3 linked regions of the Canis lupus familiaris genome follow. The protein of the gene in region 1 purifies or fractionates together with the protein of each later gene. This does not show direct contact. Links are inferred from orthologs where the notes say so. Each region holds a gene or a part of one and is shown on either strand. Other genes may lie near its edges. The genes, in order: SRPK2, RBM27 and RBM26.

Region 1 (7,203 bases):
AGAATACTGTTAAAGGCTTTGTGTGTGTGTGTGTGTGTTTTTAAGATTTTATTTATTTATTCATGAGACACACACACACACACACACACACACACACACACAGAGGCAGAGACACAGGCAGAGGGAGAAGCAGGCTCCATGCAGGAGCCCAATGTACGACTCAATCCCGGGACTCCAGGATCATACCCTAGGCCAATAGCAGATGCTAAACCACTGAGCCACCCAGGGATCCCCCTGTTAAAGACTTTGATATTAAAATCTGAGAAATCGGGATACCTGGGTGGCGCAGCGGTTTGGCGCCTGCCTTTGGCCCAGGGCACGATCCTGGAGACCCAGGATCGAATCCCACATCGGGCTCCCGGTGCATGGGGCCTGCTTCTCCCTCTGCCTATGTCTCTGCCTCTCTCTCTCTGTGACTATCATAAATTAAAAAAAAAAAAAATAAAATAAAATAAAATCTGAGAAATCCAGGTGTAATGGCAGGAGAATAAGAATCTTTAAAACTCAGTATCTTGTCAAATTACTGCTTCACTAATTCAGTTAGGAAACAATCTAAATAAACCCAAAAAATATTCATAGTATTTCTTGAAGTTTACTCCTAGCCTTCTGAAAGAAACTTAGATACATTAAAAGATGTGGCTTGAATACTTCCTGCACCTGCTCTGAGCCTCTGAACACTAGCTGGGAAGGACCTATCCACGGACCTATCCTTCCTTGAGTGACTTGTAAGAATTGACTTGCAGACTTGAAAAATGAGAGATAATGTTGCAATAAAGAAGCGGATGTTATAAGAATAAAAAGTCAGAAAGCATTATGTGTATTTTAGTAAAAAATTAAGGTAGATAAAAAGAATAAAAGTAATTTTATACCCAGAGATGTTTGTTGCAAACATCTTATCCCCCTAGATTTTTCCTGGTGTATTTCACAAAAATGGTATCACATTCTTCATGCTACTTTGCAGCCTGTTTATTTTACTTACAAATACAGAGTAAAGGTCTTTTTATGCCAGATATTTATGAAAGCACTCTTTTACCTTTCCCAAGTATCTGCCTCCACAGGGTATGCTCTCTCACTCTCCATCCTATTTCTCAGCAGTGGTTTGAGGTTGGAGAAGTCAGGGGAGAGAGGAGTGAGCTGTGTTGGAGGGTGAACTGTTGTACATTATATGATTCCTTGTTGGTTATACACTAACTATTGGTGTATGCAGATTTACTCAGAGTACACATTTTTTATTTTGCTGAGTTATTATACTAACCCAAGAAGATTTGCATTGAATTTATTGCTTAGAAAAGAAGATGACATTGTATGGAAAAGTCAAGAACTGGTGTGTGCATATTATGTACACAAATTACTGTTACAGAGTGCTTGATGGCTTGTCTGAGTTAAATCAGAATGAACAGAAGGGCTTTTTAGGCAAAGGACATTTTTCTCTCGATGAAAGATACTTTCAAGAAAAATGTTGTATTATTAAACATATTTTGATCTGATTTTAGTACTTAGAGCTTTCTTAAATGGACTCAAGAACTGACTAAAGGGTGCACCTGGCGGGCTCAGTCAGTAGAGCATGTAATTCTTGATCTTGGGGTCTTGAGTTCAAGCTCCACATTGAGTATAGAGATTAATTGAAAAATAAATACAATCTTAAAAAAAAAAGAACTGACACAAAGGAAGAGATTTTATTACTATTTCTCTGAAATTAAAAAAAAAATTTTTTATAACAGGTGGCTACCATCCGGTGAAAATTGGAGACCTCTTCAATGGCCGCTACCATGTTATTAGGAAGCTAGGATGGGGACACTTCTCAACTGTCTGGCTGTGCTGGGATATGCAGTAAGTGTTCTTTGTCATTTGTGCATTTAGTTTCTGGACTAGTTCAACCTTTATAATACAATATGGCTGAGGAGCATGCCTACTTCTGTTGTGGCATGTATACTACTTGGCATAAGCCTGCCCCACTCACCTAGAGACCCACCCACCCCAGTCAGAAGTTCTCTTGTCTGTTATCTTAATATTATTAACTTTCTTCTGCTTTTATGTCTGAAGCTTATTCATTGAAATTGCATTGTATCACATATTCTTCTAATAATTCACCCATATCAGAGAAACATTCACATGTAAAATAATGATGTGTCGACCTTAAAAGTCAGTGGTTTCTAACTTTTTTTTTTTTTTTTTTTTACGGCTCCATAGTATGAAACTACAATGCTACCCCTTACACACATACATATATGGTGTGTATGTGTATGTACTAAAACAGAAGTGTTATAAAATAAGAATTACCTTTAATGTATGGATGAACTCTGATATTTTTCCAGTCTACCTTTTTTTTTTAATTAGGTAAAGACAACATGATGCAAAGAAGAGATTGTTTTGATCCATTAACCTATTGCTTAATTGCTGTTGCACAATTTGAAAAGTACTGTCTTGTTTTTTTTTTTTTTTTCAAGATTTTATTCATTTATTCATGAGAGACACAGAGAGACAGAGACACAGGCAGAGGGAGAAGGCTCCATGCAGGGAGCCCGATGTGGGACTCAATCCCGGGACTCCGGGATCACACCCTGGGCTGAAAGCAGGCGCTAAACTGCTGAGCCACCCAGGGATCCCCGAAAAAGTACTGTTTTAAAGGAAAGATTTTTAGAAGTTCTTATTTATTGGGATGCTTGGGTGGCTCAGTGGTTGAGCATCTGCCTTTGGCTCAGGTCCTGATCCTGGGGTCCTGGGATCAAGTCTTATATCAGGCTCCCCGCAGGGAACCTGCTTCTCCCTCTGCCTATGTCCCTGCCCCTCTCTCTGTGTGTCTGTCATGAATAAATAAAATCTTTAAAAAAAGGAAGTTTCTATTTATTGAATAGATGTTATTATAATGATTACTTCTGTTAATATTAAAAATATGCATTTTTTTTTAAAGGGGGAAAAGATTTGTTGCAATGAAAGTTGTAAAAAGTGCCCAGCATTATACAGAGACAGCCTTGGATGAAATAAAACTGCTCAAATGTGTAAGTATCCCCAAAATGTGAATAATGCAAGAAAAATTAATGACAAAATTTTACAGAGGAATTTTTAAGTTTGAATGATGAATCTTTTATCTTTAAAAACATCCATTTTACTAAAATGTTTTTAGTTGATTATAATGGAAATGACTTTCAGTCTTAAATATTTCTGTCCTTGAATTCATTTTTTTTCCTGTAGGTTCGAGAAAGTGATCCCACTGACCCGAATAAAGACATGGTAGTACAGTTAATTGATGACTTCAAGATTTCAGGCATGAATGGAATACGTATCCTTACTGATAATTCTTTTATTTCCTAGTGGCTTTTTACTTTTAAAATATGGAAATATTTCAAGCTTGTTTAAACTCCTGTTTGCTGTGCTGTATCAATGTCTATATAAAGCCTCTACTGTCATCATAGAATGCTATAACATGGTATGCCGAAAATTCCCCAATTCCTGCCAGTCCATTTCAGTGTCTTGGGTAATCTCTCTGGGGTTGTACAGCATCTTAAACATTCTTCTTGTCCAGGCACCGTGCTCTTTACAGACAATCCCTCTACCTTCAATATCAAGCTGGGGAAGAACCATACATATGTGTAAGTAGAGAGCAGAGAAAGATTAGTCACAGTCATCATTACAGATGAAAAGGAGCAAAAGATCGGTTGTGTCAAGAGTCAGGGTCTTCTCCTTGCCAATCTTTTGCTCCTTCCATCATAACATGTTTGGAACAGATCCATCATTTTGGTATTTGACCTCCTCCAGCTCCAGAAGCCCGAGGACAAAGCCTTCTCCCAGCTTACAGCCCAGACTGGTACCCTGTTTCTGTATCTCCTAAGCTTTAATCCCTGAGCAGGCACTTCCTTCATACCCTGTATGTCTGAAGGAGGTTCTGTATTTCCTTCAGAGATTGGATTAGAGGGTACTAGTAAGTACCAGTGCCTGCTGATGTCACTTTGTCTTTTCCTCAAGATTATTTCTGGTTGTTGCTCAGTGCATTTTCCCCTCGTTTTTTTTTTTTTTTTTTTTTTTTTTTTTAAAGATTGATTTTTGAGGGAGAGATTTGAAGAGGAGGAGGGGCAGAGAGAAAAGGAGAGAAAGAATCTCAAGCAGACTCCCCACTGAGCATGGAGCCCGATGCAGGGCTCAATCTCATGACCCTGAGATCACATACTGAGCCAAAATCAAGAGTCAGACGCTCATCCAAGTCATTCAGGTTCTGGTGTTCTTTCCACCACCCTATAGACAGAGCTGGTCCTTTGCCCTGTCTCCAGGTGAGCTTGTTTGTTTATGGGCAGGCAGGGCAGCTCCTCTTCTTAGTTTTGTAAGGCAGTTTGCTGGGATAGCTGAGAGAATTTCTTTGGAGAAACTACCTGATTTATAGGTAAATGGAGTGTTTTGGGTATATATACATTCCAGTGGCTGTTATTACTATTTTATAAAGCGCCAGGGAAACCATTATAGTCCAGGTTGTCAGTGCTTTGAGAAGATTTAGGTCATAATTTAGAAATCTTGGCCTTTGGCTCTGCGTCTTTTACCAACTGTAATCATTTTGCCATTTTTTATAATGATTTGGGAAATAGTAAGAAACTTCTGGCTTTATATTATCTGTGCATAAATCTATAATGTTCTCCTACAGTGTAGAAATGCTTTTTAAATTTTTCACTAAAAATATTTAAAGCAAAAAATAAAATAAAATAAAAATATTTAAAGCAACTGTGATAATTTGATTGGTAGATCTAGATATTGTAGTACAAAATATTAAATCAATTAACCTGCTTTTAATAGCCTGTCTTTAGGCTTCCAGAGATGAACAATATATTCTAAAAAGGTTTCAGAGACATTATAAATCTTTCTATATGAATAACATGAATATATTTGTATGATGGACTTTAGTGGGTCTACTTCTGCAGAGTCCCTGGTTGACTAGAATACCCAAATTCCTGAGATTTCATTATTAAATGCTATGTTCTATATTGTGATCTTACATCATTGAGAGCCTCCTGTAGTATTAAACTTGATCTGGTTCTGCAAAGAAAGATACTCTTGGGGGGTGCCTGGGTGGTCAGTCAGCTAAGTGTCTGCCTCCAGCTCAGGTCATGATCTCAGGATCCTGGGATCAAGCCCCGCATGGGGTGGGGGGGGGTCCCTGCTCAGCAGGAAGTCTGCTTCTTCCTCTCCCTCTGCCCTTCTCTTGCTCATGTACGAGCGCACTCTCTCAAATAAATAAATCTTTAAAAAATATATATACTATTGAAGGAAAAGGTTAAATATCTTCACTGTGTTTTGTAAATTTCTATTTTATAAAATGTTTTATGTGTTAGGAATATAGGCAGGCAGGACACTTTTAAGAAAGGGTTTTTTGTTGCCCCCTCTCCCCCATCAGTTTTTTTTTTTTTTTTTTTTTTTAAGATTTTATTTATTTATTCGTGAGAGAGGGAGGGAGGGGCGCAGAGACACAAGCAGGCTCCATGCAGGGAACCTGACATGGGACTTGATCCTGGGTCTCCAGGATCAGGCCCTAGGCCGAAGGCGGCGCTAAACTGCTGAGCCACCCGGGCTGCCCTCCCATCAGTTTTTATGAGGTTTTAGCCTTGCTTACTTTCATTACTGCTGATTATCAGGGAGGGGGATGTTGAAATGAGCAAGAGTGCAGGGAGGTGCAAGGTTGCCTCATGACCCAGCAACTTTTGGACTGTGTGACACTGGGGATCTTTTCGGCTCCTGGGTTCACTGTGGTTGCTTCTGTGTAGGGGTAAGCATATTGTTTGATAAGCCTACACTGAGTAACATGTAGGATATAAGTACTTGGTAAATGTTAGATCTACCTATTTTGGTGAGAAACAGCCTGTGACCACTTTGGTATTATTGATGGTAGTGATGATGCATTTTTATTTTATTTTATTTTATTTTATTTTATTTTATTTTATTTTATTTATTTATTTTATTTTATTTTATTTTATTTTATTATTTATTTTATTTTATTTTATTTATTTTATTTTGATGTTGCATTTTTAAATGTTTTTTGTTGTTTCTTAGTGCACGCATGTAGGTGTGCATGATTGGGGATGGGGCACCATGGAGAATCCCAAGCAGTCTCCATGGTGAGCGTGGAGCCCAACGCGGGGCTCCTTCTCACTACCCTGAGATCATGATCTGACCCAATACCAAGAGTTGGACGCTTACCTGACTGCGCCACCCACGTGCCCCATGATACAGCATTTTATAAAGATAAAATTGCCAAGTGCTACAATGATACCGCTTTGAGTAATTGCCTCACTCCAGGAAATGTGTCCACACGTGATCCTTAACCATATCCCAGATGTCTGCATGGTCTTCGAAGTGCTTGGCCATCATCTCCTCAAGTGGATCATCAAGTCCAATTACCAAGGCCTCCCCGTACGTTGTGTGAAGAGTATCATTCGACAGGTGAGGAAGCCAGGGCAGCCCTGCCCTCCAGTGCCTAACTGGCTAGCCTTTCAGTGCAAATTGCTGTTCTTAAATACACACACATGTGCATGCTGTCACAGGTATAAATATAATCTCTTATAAATTTATACATGTACATTACAGTGTACATTTGAACTTGTTACATCAGTTTTATAATTATCTAATCACATGTCATTCTGTCTTGTGAAGAGGGCAGTAGGTAAATGTCAGGCATGCATTTCTTTTGGTGTATTGATCTTTTGTTAAGGTAAGTGATACGACATACTGAGGAATTGTTTTATCTAATATCATTACTATGAAATGACCCATTTAGTTCCTTATAAAATAGAGAAGAAATAGATAATTTGTGTTTGTTTACTATTTCTATGTATCTTTGGATGGAGGCTAAATGAAAGATAATGTAAAGAATGTTTAAGTTATATCGGGAGTATCATGTTAGATTTGTACTTTATTCAATTGCCTTGACAAAAGAAAACCTTTAGCTGGGGTCTGATTCAAGTATGATGTTCTAGCAAATATTTATAGGATGAAAGTATACACATATGGAAGATCTCCTAATTAGAAATATCTACCAGATTCGGTTTTCTGCATGGAATATATCAATCTTATTCCTCATTGCCCTTATAGCCTACCTAGGAAAGTTACAGATACAATTTATTACTTGTTCTGCTGTCATGGACAATTGCCTTGGATAATTCTGCAGAGTAAGTAATATATCAGGGAGTCGCTTGGTTTGCTTGAGGAAAGGCTTATGTGATTTGG
Region 2 (7,203 bases), on another chromosome or scaffold:
TAGGGGACTAGTAAAATGTAGTAGTAATACATCCATAGAACAGTGTATATGCAACTTTAGAATGAAATGAAGAATATTTTCTTATGTACCTTGAGGTGATCATCAGGATATATTAGGTAAAAAAAAGGTAAAATGGAACAAAACATGTATAGTCAGCAACTGTCAGTGTAAGCAAGTAGGGCCAATGATTGCATATAATGTATTTGCTAATTAGAAGAAATGAAAATTCCTAAAATTAATTTTAAAAAATCTTTTAATTCCTAAAACTTAAATCTTGGTGTTTACAGCAGGGACCGAAAAAACTAGACAACTTTGACTATGTCTCGCTTTGTAGATTTGTCTTGGAACCATATAAATGGTGAAATATACTTAAAAGATAAAATGAAAAAAATAATCTCTAAAAATTAAAAAGACAAGTGAAACGAATTCATGTTTGCTTAGAGAGTACTTTAAAAACACAGTTATTTGACTATATTCCTAATGAGATGAAGCCTGAGGCAAAAAGCAATTTTTTAAAAAAGATTCATTTAGGGCAGCCTGGGTGGCTCAGCAGTTTAGCACCGCCTTCAGCCCAGGGCCTGATCCTGGAGTCCTGGGATTGAGTCCCACATCGGGTTCCCTGCATGGAGCCTGCTTCTCCCTTTTGAATGTGCCTGCCACCCCCGCCCCCATGAATAAATAAATAAAATCTTTAAAAAAATATATTTGAGAAAGAGAAAGAAATGTGTGGGGGAGGGGTAGAGAGAGGAAGAGAGAAATCCAAGCACCCTCTACACTGAGCCTAGAGCCTGACTTGGGGCTGAATTCCAATGACCCTGAGATCACAACCTAAGCTGAAACCAAGAGTGAATGCTTGATAAGCTATACCACAAGGCGCCCCACAAAAAGCAATTCTATTTCTCTAAAGATTTTTATTTATTTATTCAGGAGAGACAGAAACATAGGCAGAGGGAGAAGCAGGCTCCCTGCCGGGGAGCCCCAAAAAGCAATTTTAAAAAGTATTTTTCTTCAAAAAAAAAAAAAAAAGTATTTTTCAGTAATCATGATTCTGGCAGTGTTGGTATTCTGAAACTAGTTTGTGAGCATTGTAGGGTAAATCAAATGAAGAATTAATATTGTCAATGACAACTGATATATTTAGTGCAGTTGAAAAGAGGCATACAATAGATGAGATAAGGTAAAAACACCGTAGTCTGCTTTGAATTCAAAGTATGGTTGATCCTTGAACATTCGTGGTTTGAATTGTGCCAGGTCCACATGAACATGGATCAGTCAATCAATTTATTTATTTATGGTTTTATTTAAATTCAAGTTAGTTAACATAATCTACTATTAATTTCAGGGTAGAATTTTAAAGATTTTATTTATTTGAGAGAGTGCAAAAGAGCATGGGGGAGGGAGCAGTAGAGGGAGTAGAGTAGGACTTTGGGACCATGACTTGAGCCAAAGGTAGACACTTAACTTACTGAGCCATCTACACACCCTCGAGGTAGACTTTAGTGATTTATCAGTTGCATATAACACCTGTTACTTATTATACCAAGTGCCCTCCTTAATGCCAATCACCCAATTACCCCACACTACTCACCTCCCTCCCCTCCAGCAACCCTCAGTTTGTTCTCTGTAGTTAAGACCCTCTTATGATTTGTCTCCCTCTTTGTTTTTAGATTATTTTATTTTCCCTTGCTGTCCCCTCCATTTATCTGTTTGTTTCTTCAATTCCACATGAGTAAAATCATATGGTTGTCTTTCTCTGACTGAATTTGTTTAGCATAATACATTCTAGTTCTAGCCACATCATTGCCAATGGCAAGATTTCATTCTTTTTGATGACTGAGTAATACTCTGCTTTATACATAATACCACATCTTCTTTATCCATCCGTCAGTGGACACCTGCTCCTTTTAAACATAGATTTTTAAGATTAGTACAGTAAATTACTGTAAATGTATTAAAGAAACATTTTCTTTTCTATAGCTTATTATCGTAAGAATACAGTTATATGATATACCAAGTATGTGTTGTTTATTTTATCAGTAAGGCTTCTGGTCAACAGTAGGCTATTAAGTTTTAGAGGAGTCAAAAGTTAAATATGTGTATTTTTGTACTGTGGGGTGGGGGTGGGGTCAATCTTGAGTTATTTAAGGATCAACTGTATTGATAACAATTTCAGATACTGTTTTATCTTAAAAAACAAATAAGCAATAAAAAGCTCTAAGACATTTCTTAAATTCTACTCACTGAAAAGGTCTAGAAGTAATAATCAGTCCAAGGGTAATGACCCCTTGCCCCCTCCCAAGCACTCAGAGGAGCCAAGGGTTCTTGAGGAAAGAACCCCAGATCTGGGTCTAACAGTGTTCTAGATGACCCTGGAATATTTTATCCAACCAGAAAATGGAAGTTGTCAAAGATTCTGGAATCCTGTCAGAGAATGAGCTGTAGTCATAAAGGCTCTAGATCTATTCACAAATTTAAAGGAAATTCAAAGGACAGTGGAACATGTTACCAGGGTATTCTAGAATTCTGTGGCAAATATTGCACGATGAGTGATGTGGTTTCTTCAATAAACAATTTGAAAAAAAAAAAAAGACGGGGGGAATGAAATGGTATTAAAGGAGACTTAAAAGAAATACAACCAGTGACAGTAGATGGACTGTATAGATCCCAATTCAAGTGATAAGAAATGTTTAGAATGTGAATATCTAATCATATTAAGTAGTTACTATCTTTTAAGTGTGATGATGGTACGGGGTTATATTTACAAAAGGAAGGGGGCGTTATCTTTTAAAGGTACAACTGTAATATTTACAGATAAAACAACGTGGTGTTTGGTATGAGTGTGGAGTTGGGGATTTAAGTAAAACAAGATTATATAGTCTCCCCTTATCTGCGGGGGATATTTTCCGAGATCCACAGTGGATGCTTGACACCATAGATAATACCAAACCCTATGTGTACTATCTTTTTTCCTGTATATACCTGCCCATAATAAAGTTTAACTTATAAATTAGGCACAATGAAAGGAAAAACAACAATAATAAAATGGAACATTTACAACAATATGCTTTAATAAATGAGAGGTCATTCTCAAAACATTGTACGATACTCATCCTTGTTCATGTGATGATGTGACATGATAAAATGCCTACATAATGAGGTAAAGTGAAGTGAATGATACAAGCATTATGATGTAGTATTAGGTTACCCATGACCTTCTGATGAGCCAGATGAAGGTTATCTATTTCTAGACCGCACTTGACCTCTGGTAACTGAAACCGTGGAAATCCAAACTGTAGATAAGGGGGAACTACTATATTTTATGTCCTGATAACTGTTGGTGCTTGGTGATGGATACATCAAATTGGTAATATAACTCTTTTGTTTCAAAAATTCCATTATAAAAAGATACCAAAACAAAGACATTATAGATTTGGAAGTCAGACAGACGTGACTGACTTGACCTGCCTCTTACTGGATATATTAGATAACTCAAGAGTATTGATTTCCTTTTCTATAAATTGAGTTGCTGTGGGGATTGAAAAATTTCATATTCATAAAGCATGGAACAAGAGTACTTAATACATACTAAGTGCTCAGTAAATTGTAGGTATTGCCATTTGTATGTTAGTAAATAATATGAATTTCAGCTGTGTAGTGTTCCTACAGTATTTCAGAGATGCTTGTGTAGTTAAAGTAGCTTAATTTTGAGGACAATTAACTATTGTTTGAGAGAAGTTTTGTATTTTATTATGGATATTTAATGATAGAATTCACACAATTGAATTTTCTGTGAATTTCTCAATATTATATATTGTGCCCCTTATATCACATATTTTTTTTATATCACATATTTAAAGTCAGTTAAAAAATAAAAGAGGAGAGTGTGTTAGGAAAGACTTGAACCAGAGAGATAGTACTGTATCATGTAGTTCTGCTGTGCCTTAAGGGAAGACTAACTGGAGAACGGTCTGTTCAGAAGGAGAAAGCAATCTAAATAACAAAACTAGCACAGTAGAGATGGCCAGTACTTTACTCAGATCTGTGAGCTAACTGCTTGTTGTAGGTTTGATTATAAACTCATATAGCACTTGATTAAATATAATAATATTATGATTACAAAGTACCTTAATCCTGAGTTAGTTGATTTGGAGGAGGGTTTAAGGAAACCAGTAATTCTGTGATCAGATGTCTTAATTAGCCTTAACCTAAAAGGACGGAAAACTAGGATGAGGCTAGAGCTATAACTGGTAAAGAAGCTACAGTCATCCCTGTTAGCCGGGTTAGAGAGAGATTTAGTCAGTTTTACTGTTTAGACAGGATTCCTCTTTTTTTGTCTCTTCAGTCATGATTATGGAGTGATCTTGTGGTCTTGTTTATGCCTTGACCCATCCTGGTCTCAAGAGTGGCCTTGTTGGAGATTTTTTTATGAAATTGTTTTTGTTTAACAGGAGGACATATAAGGACTGACTCTGGGTAGTTGGCTGGCTGCTCCTAGATATAAGGGGCCACATTCTTTTTCTCTTAATTAAAAAAATGTAACTAGAAGAGGAATAATGTGATCATATCCTGAAACACAACATTATTGCTAAAATTAATTTGTTTTTGCATTTGAGTGACAATTGGATTTATGTATACATAAAAAGCTAGTTTTATAAATGAAGTTTTTAATGTAAAAAAATGTATAACTCCTAAAAAAATACAAATACTTGCAGCCTTTCTAAAAAATTAAAGCTTTTCTAAAATTTGATTTTATATGTTCTAAAATTTGATTTTATATGTGTTTCCTAGATATTTTCAGCTCCAGGCCATCCAAAAATGATTTACAGCTCCTCAAACTTAAAGACACCTTCGAAACTTTGTTCAGGTTCTAAATCTCATGATGTTCAAGAAGTTCTTAAAAAGAAGCAGGTAACAGCCTTGATTCTAATCTCCTTAAAGAGGAACTGACCCATTGAATTCTTAAGTGATTATGTTAGCACATTTGGATAGTTCATGTTGTTATGGAACCACATTATAATGTTTATTTAGCTGCTTTTTGGTACAGTGTACATTTGAAAAAAAAAGATGAACAGACAAAAATGTATTTAGTGGTTCCCTTTCAGTAGCTATATCAAACACAAGGAAAGAATTTTTCTGATATAAAAATAAATAATACTGAGTTGACCTGTTTTGGTTTTTTTCTCCAAGATCAGGAAGCAGACAGTTTAACTTCATTATTTCCTCTTTTAAATCCTCTCTTGCTTTGTAAGTTAGACAATATTTCACATAAAGTATAACATTTATGTACTTGTTATTCATATGATTCACTTCTGAGTTTCATTATTACTATTATTATTAAAAGTGAAGTTTCATTCACTTTTTAGATTTAAACTCATATAAGAGTTTTTCAAATAAAATGTATGTTTGTATGGTCTCAGTATAATTGGAGATTAACAGAGAGGGGTGAGATACAATATTTTCCTGGTAAAAATCCATAGAATTTGCTATGACTTCTGTCCTCTAGCTTTATTTCACATTTTTAAACTTGAAACATGAAAAATAAGGATTGGCTTATTACATTGGCAAGGAAAAACAGGTATTCTTTATAAATACATTTACGTCATTCAAGTAAATAAATGTATTTAAAGGTTTTTGTCTCTGGTTTCAGCTATTTTTTGATTCGGAGCAGAATTTTTCGTACACAACATAGGAATGACCCTGAAGAAATGAGTTGGTCTTTTAACAAATGTATGCAAATGTTGGCAATATCCATTACTAATTTTTTTAATCTGTTCGTATAGGAAGCAATGAAGCTACAACAAGATATGAGGAAAAAGAGACAAGAAGTGCTAGAAAAACAAATAGAATGCCAGAAGGTAAGATAAGAACTCATTATTTGCTTGCTGGAAGATGGATACAATGGATTTTACAAAGATACCTTCATAGTAAAGTTTATAAAGGTTATTTATATTAAAATTTACTAAGCATGGTTTTACTTTCTTCTGTTTATTTTATAGATGCTAATATCTAAGCTAGAAAAGAACAAAAACATGAAACCAGAAGAGAGAGCAAACATAATGAAGACTCTAAAAGAGCTTGGAGAAAAGATTTCACAATTGAAAGATGAATTAAAAACATCTTCTGCAGTCTCCACACCATCTAAAGTAAAGACAAAAACAGAGGTATCTATTTGCATTTTCCATTCAGCATAGGGTTGTTGAACATCTGTTATGTGCTTGGCTCTTTGAAAGTACATTGGAAAAAAAAAAAAAAAAAGAAAGTACATTGGAGCCCTTAGGTAGCTAATAGTCTAATGGGGCGACAGAGTAACAATTTTTTTTAAATGTTCCTCTGTATGCTATGTACTCTCTTTGAAAGAGGTGCTAATACTCTCTTTGAACAAAGATTTTTTTTTTTTTAACTTCCTGAAGATGAAATTGCTAGAGTGATGGCAAAAAAAAAGTGTATTTTCCTGTTTCATGAATTGTTTTTCTAATATTATGGTATAGTGGAACCATCTCTTTTAATATTCAAAAGATACCATTGGCTTTAATATGGTAAAAATGTGGCATTCTGTTGAAAAAAAGAATCAGAATTTCTAGATCCACTTAAGTCTAATTTCATTAATTGCCATTTGTTTCCTTAGAGAGTACTTGCTCTGGAACCATATGCAGTGGTTCCATTATACTACAGCTCTTTAGGGAATTTTGGATTATTTTCTGGCCTTTTGATAACTTGGAATAATAAATTTATCAGATATATAGAATGCAAATTTTTATGTACATTATATATAATACATTTGAAATTGTGGCTCTCTCACCAGAGGGATGTAAAATATTTCATCAAAATTGCTTTGAAAAAATATTTTTATTGAAAATTTTCCTAATTATAGAAGCAGCATATACACATTTTAAAAGTTAATATTTGGGATCCCTGGGTGGCGCAGCGGTTTGGCGCCTGCCTTTGGCCCAGGGCGCGATCCTGGAGACCTGGGATCGAATCCCACGTCGGGCTCCTGGTGCATGGAGCCTGCTTCTCCCTCTGCCTATGTCTCTGCCTGCCTCTCTCTCTCTCTCTCTGTGTGTGTGACTGTCATAAATAAATAAAAAAAAATTAAAAAAAAAAAAAAAAGTTAATATTTGAAGGGAAAAAGTCTCTTCACAGTCATGCTATCTGAAGACATATAGGTTATCCCTCACACCCAAAAAAAGTGGCAGTAGTTGT
Region 3 (6,006 bases), on another chromosome or scaffold:
ATCCTACATATGTATATACACGAACCCTTTTAGTATGTGCATAGAACTTAATTTAGTGTGTTGCAGGATTTTTTTCCCCAAACTCTTCCAAAGATAATGGTTCTCTCTTCAGAATGGGACATCATGGATTATGATTTTTTTTTTACATTATATAACCTGAACTTTATGAATTTTTTAAAAAAATAAAATGATTGGGTTGTAGAATTTTTTTAAACTTTAAAGATTTTTATGTTGTAAATTACCTGAAATAAATTTGCAAGAACTTAAAAAGCAAGAACTAAGTTATCTCAAAAATGTATATAGCCAGAAGTTTATATAGTTTATGTAGTCAGAAGTTTCTAATGGAGAAGGTTGATAAAATGTTAAGTATACCTAGCTTTGAAAATCATCCTGTAAGATGTTAAAATTAAAACTTTAAAAAAGTTAAAACTTGAGAGGGTTGTAGACTCACCTTATAAATTTGAAAGTGTGTGTGCTAAATATAGAGATTTACAGTATTAGGTCATCAGAAATGTCAAGAACTTCTAGAAAATATCAGTAAAAGCTTTGACCTTTTTTTAACTGGATGAAAAGATGAGCTTTATGAGTAGACATTTTGCATGACACTCTTAGAATTCCTACAGTAATATATTTTTATGTAATAGTTTTAGTTTGAAAAAATTACAAGTTGTTTCTAATCTTAAATACCATATATAACTACTTAAAAATTTTTTAATTATATAACCCTGTGATGAGGCCATGGACTAAAAACTCCTGAGCTGCGTTTTAATGGGCATGAAATCTTTAAATTTATCATAGATTTATATGTGCAGATTTAAAATTTATATCTGGAGATTTTAGTATCACACAACTCATGGTCAGGTGTCACTGAACATGTAATTGTTTCTAGATTTCACATTATGCTATACTTTGAGGTTGTGCTATAAATCTTTTGTGACTATGAGTTATTTAGATATATTGCTAACATTGATTTATTTCAGTTCATGGTACTTTAATTTGAATGCACGATTTCTTAACCAGTCACTTAATGTAGCAAATACTAAGTTTGACTTCAATCTTAATGCAGTTCTGAAAGCTTTGTAAGAAGTACTTTAGTTTCAGTAGAAACGTTGAGTTTTTTTCTTCATGGAAGTAACATATTTGTAAGAGTGATATGACAAACATCATATATTTAAAAATAATGTTATACTCTACACATGCAAAATTATTTTTTATTTGTTAAAGTTTTCCAGTTTGTAGTTACTTTGCATGTCACTTGTAAATTAACAATTTAAATGCAATGAAATACAGTTAGCCTGTTGATCCTAATTTAGACTTCAATTCAGAATCTGCAGCCAGGATCTTGAAATGCCTTGAGATTGTTGCCTTGAATAGCCGTTTTATTGTGTTTTAAACATGTAAAGATAGTTCTAGTCAGATACTGGCCAGTAGTAAAAGATCTCTGCTCAAGCATGAGAAAGTGTACTTGTTTTCTTTTTAAAGGTATTTCCAACCACAAAGCTGGGTTTAGAAGTAAATAACCATAAAAAGTAAATAATAAATTATAATAAATAGTAAGTGAAGAAATAAATAACTACAAAGTAAATGGATAGGTATCTTTGCTTTTGTTTTAATTTAAATATTAGGTGCTATAACGTTTCACTGTTTTCTTCAGAAATTATTATTAATGTTCAACATTCTAATGTTCTTAATTGTTTTAGGCTGCAGTTCATGGAGCTCGTTTCAAAGGGCAGGATCTAAAACTGGCATGGAATAAACCAATAACTAATATTTCAGCTGTTGAAACAGAAGAAGTTGAACCTGATGAAGAGGAAGTATGTTTTTTTTTTTTTTAATTTGTTTTGGCCCTAAGTGCTCATGTTCTTATATGAGATGTGATTTTATGGCTGTGATTTTAACATAAAACTTTTATTCCTGAGCCATATTCCAGGAAGGGAATGTCAGATAAATGCAGACAACTTTAAATTTTCTGGATTAATGAGAACATGGATTGCTAATCCAAAAAGGAAAGAAAGAAAATCATATATATATACACAAATATATATACACGCTCAGTTTTCATTTACTCTTAGAAATCAATAATTATTGTTTAGATTTTTATCCACAGGAAATCTTGTAATATTTTAAGTTTTAGAGTATATATCCTACTCAATTGCTTTATTAACATTTCAGGTTTCCTTTATTTTAATTCATATTGTTTTAGTTCATTAGAGTGAATGCCTGCTATATGGTAGATACTGTGATAGGCACAAAAATGAATAAGACACGGTCCCTATCATCAAGGAGCTTATAATCTGGAAAGGGGGGTGGTGACAGACACATAAGAAACTAATTATAATGAAAGGCTCAATAAAGATTTGAACAATATGCTGTGGGAACCTAGGGGAAGGAGTGATTATTTCTGTTCAGAAGAATCTTGAAGAAGGTGGTGACAAGCATAGCTGAAGCCTAAGTGATCAAAAAGCTTTCCATAACCAAGAGCTGGACTGAGAATAGAGTTGAGAGAGGCATTTTAGATGTGGAAGAGGAATTAGATATGGAACAGTCCATTTTACTTGGGTACAGCAGTTAGTATGATGGCCAATAGGTGTGAACATAAAAAACAGTGAAGTGGGAGAGCCCTTTGAAATCATAAACCTAAAAATAAGCAACTCTATTTTGTTTGATCATGAAATAAGCTATAGGAAAAAATTGAGGAAGTTAATAAATAAAGGTAAGGTGGGGAAACAATGATTCCATGTTTTACCTTTGTTAGATTTTCGTAATGGCACTTCATTTGTTTGAAGAGCATTCGAGGCTGTTATACATATCCATAGTCAAATGCAAGAATAAAATGTGTATTTTGAAACTCATATACATGATTTGTCATTTTATATTTTAGATTATACCTTTGTCCTTCCATGAGTTTGAATTGAATGGGGAGAAAAGCAGGAGAGCTCCTGGTATTAGGTATTTTGAAAAGTTTGAAAAGTAGTCTGAGAAGCTTTTATGAAGGGAAATGGGGAAAAGCAAGGAATGCTATGAAAGAAATGTTTGTTACATATAGCAGAAAAAATATATAAATCTTGGTAGACGTTTCTACAAGTATTGATTGATTTAGTGTCCAGGGTTAGGGTAAGTCAGAGAAGACTTATTGATGTTTTCCTTTTTAAAAAAAAAAAACTAAAGGTATTGAGCAATGTTTTGCAGGTGTAGAAGATGGCATAATTTGATCAAGTGAGGCAGGAGAAATGGCATGTACAAAGGCTTTCTTTGATATTTTTTTTAGTGCCTATTTGATATAAGCAATAGAATAGATACTATAGAGAAACCATTGAGTGGATAAAGGTTGCTTTTCTTTGTTCTTGAATATTGTAGCTGTAGAAAATACCTTTTGTTTTCAACTCTGTTGAGAGAAATCAGTATTTAAAAGTGTCACCTTTTTTCTTTTCTTTTTTTTTTTTGGGTAAATTCCTAAATGCATTTTAACCTAAAGTTTCAGGAAGAGTCTTTGGTGGATGACTCATTACTTCAAGATGATGATGAAGAAGAAGAGGACAATGAATCTCGTTCTTGGAGAAGATGATTTGACTGATCATTGATCTGCATATGCTAGAACTCTACCTGTGTTTCATTAGTATTATCTAATGTACTTTTACATATTTGTAAAAACAATTTTTTGGTAAAATGTGATGAAGATGGATTTCACAAATAGACAAAAGAGAAGAAAACTACCTTCTGATCCTGTATTTTGAAAGATTGATGTTTGCATTTTATTTCAGTAAACAATTGCTAAAGACATCACACTAGAAACATATGCAATGTTTTTATTACATACTTCTACTGAACATTACGGAATTCTTTGGGTTCTTTGTAATTTAATGAATAGGTCTAAAAACTTATGACCAATACTTGTTATAACTTAGAGGATTTTGTTTTACTCCAAATAAGGAATGAATTTGCATTTAAAATCTTAATGAATGTTTTCAAAAATGAATAGATAACATAGTACTCTAACTAAAGTCTCCAAGTTATGTATTCATAATATTACATAGTAGTATGCTTAGGCTTTACTATGTATTAGCCTTTTGTTGGACTTGTGTATGTATTTTACTATATGGGTTTTAATGATAATGGTGTATGACTGCTTTGCATATGAGTCCTTATGCATTCAGATGTTAAAAATAAAGTGGAATGGTCTCTTGAACAGAAAAGAAAAAAAAAAAGCAATGACAAAAAAAAAAAAAAAAAAAAAAAACAACCCACAAAGGCCAAGACAATGTTCCTTGATTTTAAAAAAGAAAAAAAGAAAAAAAAAAAAAGAAAAAAATTAAAATAAATAGACCATTCCAGATGGTGATCTACCCTTCCCCCCAATTATCACAAAAGGAGCTATAATCACTAACTTATTAATAATGGTTACTGGTACCTTTACAATAATGTACAATCCAATGTGAAAAATTTATACCACTTCAGTTTGGTTTGATCCTATAAATTTTCAACAGATGTCTTAAAATTTAAAAGCAGGCTATTAGTTTGGAACCAGACTTCAAGTAGAGCTAACATTTGGTGAATAAGAAAACATCACATTACATTTTGGATGTATGAAAGAAAACATGACCATTTGAAGATGTATGAATAAAGAAATGTACTATAGATACTACTTTAGGAAAACACTGTTTGGTAAGTGTTCCAGTCTGATATTTTAAGTGTGCATTTCCTATACTTGTATAAAAATCTTTGACATTTGCAACAGTATTGTGATTTTAAGTGAATTTCTCTGGCAAATGAACATGATCATTGAAAGTTGATACAGCAATTTCAGGAAATAAATGCATTCTTTGTAGAATGAGGGGGTGGGAGATTACATATTTATCTTTTAAAATTCATCATTTCAGTTGCAAGTGTTTCTGCCCTTCCTAAGATCATAGTGATTTTATTAAATGTCACATTGAAAAAATAACTTTCTTCCCATACTGGGGTCCTCACAGTCACAAACTGTAATTCCAACACCATAATCCTCTGTCAGTGGTGTAACTAATGGCTGCTGTTCCTCTTTTTTTTTTTCCCCCTCCCACATTTAGGGTTAAAATTGTATATATGTTCTTGATGGTAATACTATTTCATAGGAATGTTTTGGCTTGCAATTGGTACATGTGTTAATATTTAAAATTTCAAAATTGATTTCTTTTGTCAAAATAGTTATTCAAAAACTTCTTTACTTAGATCTATGATATATTTTTATGTAGTCTTTTGTATGTTGACTATGTGCTATTCTGATTCATTAGGTAAGTTTGTTTTCTTTTCTTTTTAGTAGTCGTGAAAGGTGCCAAATTGGCAGAGGCTCACGTTTCTTCTCTTTACACCAAACAGGTATTATAAAGAAAGAAAATCTTTCAAAGGCCAGTTAACTCTCCATGCTGATTTTTGGCTTTTAATTTGATTAGTAAATTTTAGCCTGGTTTTTAAAAAATTATTGTAAAATTCCCTTATAATGTAACTGAAATTACCTCCATAAGTAGCTTATCAGTTTCCCTCGTCTCAAATTCTCTAATATCCTAAAATTAAAATGTTTTAAGCCAGGTTACTTTGAATGAATCAGAAAACAAGTGTGTTTCAATTTTGTCCCAAAGAATGAGGATTAAATATTACAGACATTCATTAGGTTCACAATTACATTTTTGTTGTCATTAAGATTATTTTAACTATAAATATTACTTAGTATTTAATTGCTATTGGATTTTTGAAATTAATGAATATGCTTATAAATACTAGTACTCTGCATGTACTTTCATGTGTTCTGAGTTAAAACTTAAGGTATCCCTTTGAAGTAGTGCTAATTACCATTTTACAGATAAGGAAACTTAGGCTAATAGAGATGGAGTGACTTGCCCAAAGTCACAGTTAGTGAGTAAAAGGACTAGATTTGAATGCAGGCATTCTGATTTCAGTGCCAATTTTTTTTTTTTTTTTACTCTACATTGCTACTCCTTCCTAATTATTGATTGAGCATGAGATTGTGTTTGC

The links.
Region 2: the proteins of SRPK2 (region 1) and RBM27 purify together in Homo sapiens (affinity purification with mass spectrometry; 3 studies listed by BioGRID and IntAct, with this or other methods). This does not show direct contact. The link is inferred for Canis lupus familiaris from reciprocal best matches to the Homo sapiens genes SRPK2 and RBM27.
Region 3: the proteins of SRPK2 (region 1) and RBM26 purify together in Homo sapiens (co-immunoprecipitation; 3 studies listed by BioGRID and IntAct, with this or other methods). This does not show direct contact. The link is inferred for Canis lupus familiaris from reciprocal best matches to the Homo sapiens genes SRPK2 and RBM26.

What each region holds. Positions count from the first base shown.
Region 1 is NC_049239.1:15,479,087-15,486,289, forward strand, and holds part of SRPK2 (SRSF protein kinase 2), read left to right. Parts: intron 1-1,721; coding exon 1,722-1,830; intron 1,831-2,911; coding exon 2,912-2,999; intron 3,000-3,192; coding exon 3,193-3,280; intron 3,281-6,313; coding exon 6,314-6,420; intron 6,421-7,203. UniProt on the Homo sapiens protein: Serine/arginine-rich protein-specific kinase which specifically phosphorylates its substrates at serine residues located in regions rich in arginine/serine dipeptides, known as RS domains and is involved in the phosphorylation of SR splicing factors and the regulation of splicing.
Region 2 is NC_049223.1:39,855,947-39,863,149, forward strand, and holds part of RBM27 (RNA-binding protein 27), read left to right. Parts: intron 1-2,241; exon of another isoform or gene 2,242-2,375; intron 2,376-4,788; coding exon 4,789-4,908; intron 4,909-5,780; coding exon 5,781-5,855; intron 5,856-5,996; coding exon 5,997-6,161; intron 6,162-7,203. UniProt on the Homo sapiens protein: May be involved in the turnover of nuclear polyadenylated (pA+) RNA.
Region 3 is NC_049243.1:32,681,792-32,687,797, reverse strand, and holds the end of RBM26 (RNA-binding protein 26), read left to right. Parts: intron 1-1,700; coding exon 1,701-1,814; intron 1,815-2,881; coding exon 2,882-2,974; 3' UTR 2,975-3,224; downstream 3,225-6,006. UniProt on the Homo sapiens protein: May be involved in the turnover of nuclear polyadenylated (pA+) RNA.